Linked DNA regions of Macaca mulatta. The protein of the gene in region 1 interacts with the protein of each later gene in a pairwise test. Links are inferred from orthologs where the notes say so. Each region holds a gene or a part of one and is shown on either strand. Other genes may lie near its edges. The genes, in order: MCM3AP and MCM3.

Region 1 (4,341 bases):
TCAAGCTAACCCCCCAGAGAAACGTATTGACAACCTGCCAGCAGGATTTACTCTACGTTCTACATTTTCAGAGCTCACCTTCTTTCTTCTCTCTACTTTCAGTTTCTTCCTCTTTATTCACACCTGGCATCCGGGAAGGTGCCAGGACAGACTGACTCCCTCCTGGGATAGCCATGTGGTCACTTTCTCCAGACTCAACAAATCCAATTTCCTTTTTGGCCTCCTTGTTGCCCAGACGACATACTTCCTTATTGCTTTTGAAAACATCCTGTATCGTCCGACCAAATAAAGTACCTCCCCGGGGTCGATTCAGGCGGACAGGTCGTTTGTCCGGAGGATGATCACCCCGGGACAGAGGATCCAAATCTTCTGCTGTCTCGTGGCCATGTCTCCTTGGGGAGCGATCCTGATCCTCCTTCCTTTTCATTCCTTTCATTAGGCTGGGAAGTGGTTCCACCTGGGAAACAGCTTCTTCACACCCCTGCCTGACACCTGCTTTGCTAGCCTGGAAAGGTTCGCCCAAAACCGCAGATGACACAGGGAAGCTGCTGAAGCTATTACTAGAACTTCCAAATATTGACTTAGGTCCTCTCTTCTCTTCCTCTACATTTTGGTTTGACAAAGCAGGGGTAAAGGCAGATAATGAATTATTACTACTAACAGGTTTTGAAAAGGTAAAATTTGAATTGGTAGCTGAACTACTTGTTACTTGAGGAAAAGAGAATGGGGCCAGGCCTCCAGGTGCACTACTAATTGGGTGGGAAAACGTGAAAAACCCAGAAGCAATTTGGCTCTGGGTTTTCTCTGGCTCAGATTCAGCCCCCAGTATTGGTTTGAACACTGCATTTTCCAGAGGTTTAAAGCTGAATTCTGTTTTCCCAAAACCAGAGTTCACTATTTCTCCAGCTTCTTGTCCAAAAGCAGAGGTGCTTGGGAAAGCCCCAACACTGGTGGGTGATTTAAAACTAAATCCTGGGTTTCCCAGCACAGATGAACTTGAAGGCCCAGAGGTAGCCACAAAGGTGGAAGTGTGCTCAAGTCCAGAAAAGGGTCCAACACTTGAGGATTGGGTGAACCCTAATGTTTGCACTGAAGAGGAATGACTTACTCCGGAAGACGCTGGAAAGCTGGACACCTGTGAAAATCCCGAGCTCTTCCCAGATAAGGTACTGTTTTGTCCAAAAAGAGAAGGTTGACCAAATCGAAATGGCGACTTAGATGGAAGTGTTCCTACATTACTAGAAGACGCTGAAAAAGCACTAGGCTGCTGCCCACTGAAAGGATTAGTTGGGTTCATCTTCTGTTCCAATTATTAGAAGGTAATAAGTATTACGTGTGCAAAATTAACTGGCTTCCTGAAACAGCCCCGTAGCACTAGGGAGCTCCCCTTCGTCTTCAGAACACGCTGAAAGACAAAAATTCAGATCATCACAGCTATGTTCTGCTACAAGACTAAGAAAAGAATTTTTGAACACTGTCACACTAAAAGATAACTATTTCAAAGGCAGGCAAAGGGCTATTATTTTCCGAGAGCCAACAGGTTATTTTGTTGGAGGGTGGAGTAGAGAGTGGTACAAATAATTACTTTGTTACAGAGATTTAAAGCGTGATCCCTTTAAGATTAAAAGAAAAGAAAGCCGAATAAGAAAAGAAAGCCGACTCTTTTTACTGAGTTAGTAAATTCATGAAAAACCTCCATTGGTAGTAAGAAGATAAATGCTGTTCCACCTTACAGCTTAGAGACGAATTTCTCCTGTCTTCCTCCAATCTCTACAGCCGGAGAACTCAGCGTAACGCTGCCTGGCTTCCCTCGGAGCGGCTGGAGCGCTAACCACTGTCTCACATTCCTTTATCGCGCCCTGGCGACCACCCTCGAGCCGGCTGGAAGGGCGAGGGCGCTGCCACGGAGCTGCGGCCTCTCGGCGGGGACGGCGTGCCGGGGAGCCTAATCTTCCACCCAGCACAGCCCGAAACGGCGGAGGCCGCGCGGTGGGCCCGGGCCGGCCTGGTCACTGTACTGCCCCGGGCTCGCCAGGGGCCGCCGGCGCCGCAACGCTCCGTTAGCGACGATGTGGAGGCCCGGGCGCGCGGACGTGCGCGGGGGAAGGAAACGGCGCCCCCGGCGCCGGCCCAGCCCCCACGCTCACCGTCTAGCCGCAGGACCCCGAGGCCCGCGCTGCCCTCGGGCCCCTCGGAAGGACTAGAGGCGCAAACACAGGCCGCTGCCGCGATACTCAGCGCTGCCCTCCGCGGGCAGGAAACGCCGCGGACCGACTTCCGGTTCGCTCGGCACTACCGTGTTCCGCCCCGCCCGCTGCGATCCGGTTCCGCTCTCCCCAACCGGCTCGGCGGCGGGGCTTCCGGTCGGGAGGGTCCGCCAGCTGTCGCGCCTTTTGCCGGGTCCAGACATCGGTACGTCTGGGCGGGTTTCTAGTCTCCCAAGCGAGAGCGTCGCATTCACCCCCGTCGGTCTGCGGGCGCCCCAGACCCCAGAGGACCTGGCCCCAGCGCTTACCTGTGTCCCCCATTCTGTGCTCCCCATTCCAGCCCGTTCCCTCCTCCGCAGCGTCCCTCCCCGGCCGCGTCCCTCCCCCGCACCCGCCGCGTTCTCGCGCGCCTCGCCCCGCGCGCACAGTGCACCTGTCCCTTCTCTGGGAACCGCTCCTTCCGCTCCGCCCTCCTGGAGTCCCGGCCTGATTCCGCGGCGTCCTTCCATAGCCCCTCGTTGTTGCATCCTCCTTGTGGTAAATGTAAATTACCTTAAGATTTTTCAATCAGTTCCACCAAATAAAGTGATTTGATTGCGTGTGCATGTGTATTTTTACAGAATGTGTTATCACTTGTACTGATTGGTCTTCTCTTACACCTTAACCCCAGGTTCCGTTGCAAACATTTTTAAAGGGCTGGTTATTCTTCGTGAAATGAGTTTGGTGATTAGAAACCTGCAGCGAGTCATCCCCATCAGGAGAGCGCCACTTCGCAGTAAGATCGAGATTGTAAGGAGGATTTTAGGAGTGCAGAAATTTGACCTGGGGATCATCTGTGTTGACAACAAGAATATTCAGCACATTAATAGAATCTACAGAGGTAGAAACGTCCCAACCGATGTGCTTTCTTTTCCATTTCATGAGGTAAAAAAAAAAAAAAAAGGGTTCCTCTTGTCTAGCCTACCTTCCCAGAGTAAATTTCCTGTCTTTTTTTTTTTTCTTTAATTAAGACGGAGTCTTGCTCTGTCACCCAGGCTGGAGTGCAGTGGTGCGATCTCGGCTCACTGCAACCTCCCTGCCTGCTTCAAGTGATTCTTTTGCCTCAGCCTCCCCAGTAGGTGGGACTACAGATGTGGGCCACCACACCTGGCTATTTTTTTTTTTTTTTTTTTTGAGACGGAGTCTTGCTGTGTCGCCCAGGCTGGAATGCAGTGGCGCGATCTCGGCTCACTGCAAGCTCCGCCTTCCGGGTTTACGCCATTCTCCTGCCTCAGCCTCCCAGTAACTGGGACTACAGGCGCCCGCCACCGCGCCCTGCTAGTTTTTTGTATTTGTAGTAGAGACGGGGTTTCACCGTGTTAGCCAGGATGGTCTCGATCTCCTGACCTCGTGATCCGCCCACGTTGGCCTCCCAAAGTGGGTTAATTTTTTTGGGGGGGGGTATTTTTAGTAGAGACAGAAGTTTCACCATGTTGGCCAGGCTGCTCTTCAACTCCTGACCTCAGGTGATCTGCCTGCCTCGGCCTCCCAGAGTGTTGGGATTACAGGCGTGAGCCACGGCGCCCAGCCTAAATTTCCTGTATTAATTATATTATAGGCTAGGCTCTGTGGCGCATATAAGTATATATATTACAGACATGATTTTTAATTTTAATTTTGAAAATTTCCAAATACACACAAAAGTAGAGAGAGCAGTATATTCAGCCTCCACTGATCGATGGCCGTCACCCAGAGGCCACAATTACACCGGTAAGCCAGCAGAAAAAGAAAGGTAACAGCCGGGCATGATGGCTCATGCTGATAATCCCAGCACTTTGGGAGCCCAAGGCAGGTGGATCACCTGAGGTCAGGAGTTCGAGATCAGCCTGGCCAACATGGTGAAACTCTGCCTCTACTAAAAACACAAAAAATTAGCTGGGTGTGTGGGGGGAGGGGCGCAGTGTGCCTGTAATCCTAGCTACCTGGGAGGCTGAGGCAGGAGAATCGCTTGAACCCCTGAGGTGGAGGTTGCAGTGAGCCGAGATCGCACCATTACACTCCAGCCTGGGCAACAAGAGGGAAACTCTGTCTCAGAAAAAAAAAAAAAGAAAAGAAAAAGGTGACTAGCGGCCACCCCCTTCCCCTCCTAATGCTC
Region 2 (3,016 bases), on another chromosome or scaffold:
CATGCCTAAAGGATTTGGGATAAGCAATCCTCCCTTTTCTTCCCTAGACATCTCCAGTTACAGCCCGAACACTGGAAACTCTGATTCGACTGGCCACAGCCCATGCGAAGGCCCGCATGAGCAAGACTGTGGACCTGCAGGATGCAGAGGAAGCTGTGGAGTTGGTCCAGTATGCTTACTTCAAGAAGGTGAGGATTCAGATGGCAGGGTATGAGAGGCTCTTCTGAATAAATTACAGATGCATGGGCTTCCCAGCCTTCCATGACTGACAGCTACATTTGGATCGTCAACAGAAAGCAGTATTTGTCTTCCAGTGATCAGTCTGCCTCACTCTTTCCTCTGGAACACTCTGTGATTCTCAACCTTGACTGTACCTGAGAATCAGATGGAAAGCTTTAAAATGCTGATTCCAGGGCTCCTAGAGATTCTGGTTTAGTTGATGTGCTATACTTTCAGTCGGCTGCTTCTCTGTGTACTCCTACTTCCTTTGCATCTTAGAAAAAAAGTAGGTGTTTTCAAAAGGGCTACCTTGGTAATCTTCCTTGTCCCTCTGTACCCTTTCCCCTTGGTAGTCTCTTCAAATGTCCCATTGGCACCTCAGAAGCTCATGTTTAAAGTTGAACTCTCAAACTTGCCTCATCCTGTTTCCCAATTTCTGTTTGTGACATTGCATCTCTGTCATTTTAGATATTAAGCCTCAAAGCTTAGACTCCCTTTTCCTAGTTGCCCACTCCCGCCCCCGTCTGGTGAATTTTAGTTTTGGGGTTGAGTTGTGAGTCTGATAAAGTCTTCCTCACTTTTTGCTAGGTTAAGGGTTGTCTCGGATTTCAATTAGACACCTGATTTATAAGGAAATAGATTGTTTTCCACTTTACTATTATGTGCTAGACATTTGTTTCTTTATTCAGTAAACATTTATTGAGTACCTACTATATAAACAGCATATAACGTACTTCCCAGCATTTTAAAAAGGTGGGTAGCAGTCTCTACTTCTGCCCCTGGTCCTGGGACTTAGGGATAAGAGGAGCTAGGTAAACCATTGGAAACATGGAAGTCATTCCTGCTTATGGTGCAGAAGAGACTCGGAGTTCTCGATGCAGTTCCCCTGCATCAGTGACCCCTCCAGCCCACCCACACTTGCCTTGGTCCTAGGTTCTGGAGAAGGAGAAGAAACGTAAGAAGCGAAGTGAGGATGAATCAGAGACAGAAGATGAAGAGGAGAAAAGCCAAGAGGACCAGGAGCAGAAGAGGAAGAGGTAAGGTGGGGCAAGCAAATGAGATTAAAAAGTTGGTGGCCAAAAAGTTGGTGGCTCACACTTGTAATCCCAGCACTTTGGTAGGCTGAGACGGGTGGGTCACTTGAGTCCAGGAGTTTGAGACCAGCCTGGAAAATATGGCAAAACTCTGTCTCTACAAAAAGTAGAAAAATAGCCGGGCGTGGTGGCGGATACCTGTGGTCCCAGCTGCTCGGTAGGCTGGGGTCGGAGGATTGCTTGAGCCTGGGAGGCAGAGGTTGCAGTGAACCGGGATCACGCCACTGCACTCCAGCCTGGGTGACAGAGAGAGATCCCATCTGAAAACAACAAAAAAAGTTCCAGTGGGACTGGGGAGAGGAGTAGAGGGTAGAGGGTGGAATGAGCGCTGCTTATTGATGTCAGGTTGTTCATGGAGGGTGTTCCTAGACCTGTACGGTTTGTGGATGAAGATAACCTGGGTAAAAGAGAGACAAAGAGAGTGAGACCTTCTCATGTGCTTTTGACCCCTCTACTGAAGAAATGCTAAATAGTAGGAACAGCAACCCAACCACTGAGGGTTTTGAATATATACTTAAAAATTCTAAGGGAAAAACCTTCATGCTTATGGTTGAACTTATAAGGGTGAGTGATGTGGGAAAGAGCATTGGAAGCAGCGCCTGTTTGTGTTCTAGTCTGGGGACTTGGTCGTGTTTAGAACAAGCAGCAGTTTGCAAAGGCCTAAGCCTAGTGCTTCACTTTGACTTAGTGGTTCTGTTTCCTTTTCTCCATAGTTAGAAGCACAACATGGGGCTCCCTTGCCTTTCTGTCTCCAAACTTTCTCTCTCTCTTAACTGCCCTGGGTATTTTAGAAGGAAGACTCGCCAGCCAGATGCCAAAGATGGGGATTCATACGACCCCTATGACTTCAGTGACACAGAGGAGGAAATGCCTCAAGGTGAGTGAGCGCCCCTTAGTGATGAAGGAGGTTGTTCCTGTGACTCTTGGACTTTTCCAGTTGCTCTGTGCACTTTAGTTTCTTGTGGACTCTTGTTTGTTTGGCTCCCTGTTTGGGGCCTATGTCCAAGAGGTTTGTCCCAAGAGAGCTTCAGGGGAAACCCACAGTAAAAGCTTTGGAAGAAGCTTTGCTCTATTGTGTACACCTCCTTGATGAACTGTGCTGTGCTATACCTGGTATAAGCATTTCACATAATATGTATTTTGAGGGTCTCCTGCCTCACTAATTCCTTCATCATCCAGTGAAGATTTCCCTTTGTCCTAATTGTTCTGCCTGGCCCCATAAGAACCCTAGGAAATAGGAGTGTTCAGCAGGCTGAGTGAGGGATTGGGAGTGGAGATGAGTTCCCTAGTGTTTGTGGAAATGGCTTCACCTTGCTAATCTTCCCCATCTCTACAAACATCAACCCGCTGAAGTACACACTCCAAAGACAGCAGACTCACAGGAGACCAAGGAATCCCAGAAAGTGGAGTTAAGTGAATCCAGGTGAGTAGGGATGTTGCTCCTGCCCCTTCAAGAATTCTGTATCACTGAGGAAGGGACTTTTTTCCCTTGGAGAGGGTGGGAAAAAAACTGCTGGTTATCAGTAAAACACAAAGCTGGAGACCCGCGGCTTTTAACATTTTATATTCTCATTTAATTTCAAACTTACTGAAAAGTTACGAGAAAAGCATGAAGAACTTCTGGATGTCCTTTACCCGGAATCTTCAGTTGTTTAAATTTTACCGTTTGCTTTATTAATAATTCTCTCTCTAAGAATTTGAAT

The links.
Region 2: the proteins of MCM3AP (region 1) and MCM3 interact in a two-hybrid assay, tested with the Homo sapiens proteins (2 studies listed by BioGRID). The link is inferred for Macaca mulatta from reciprocal best matches to the Homo sapiens genes MCM3AP and MCM3.

The regions. Positions count from the first base shown.
Region 1 is NC_133408.1:1,296,185-1,300,525, reverse strand, and holds the start of MCM3AP (germinal-center associated nuclear protein), read right to left. Parts: upstream 2,922-4,341; 5' UTR 2,641-2,921; exon of another isoform or gene 2,516-2,640; intron 2,413-2,515; exon of another isoform or gene 2,328-2,412; intron 2,268-2,327; exon of another isoform or gene 1,729-2,267; intron 1,406-1,728; 5' UTR 1,298-1,405; coding exon 79-1,297; intron 1-78. Other genes in the region: endoribonuclease YbeY, read left to right, coding at 2,922-3,131.
Region 2 is NC_133409.1:130,045,400-130,048,415, forward strand, and holds part of MCM3 (DNA replication licensing factor MCM3), read left to right. Parts: intron 1-47; coding exon 48-188; intron 189-1,152; coding exon 1,153-1,256; intron 1,257-2,104; coding exon 2,105-2,190; intron 2,191-2,666; coding exon 2,667-2,736; intron 2,737-3,016. UniProt on the Homo sapiens protein: Acts as a component of the MCM2-7 complex (MCM complex) which is the replicative helicase essential for 'once per cell cycle' DNA replication initiation and elongation in eukaryotic cells.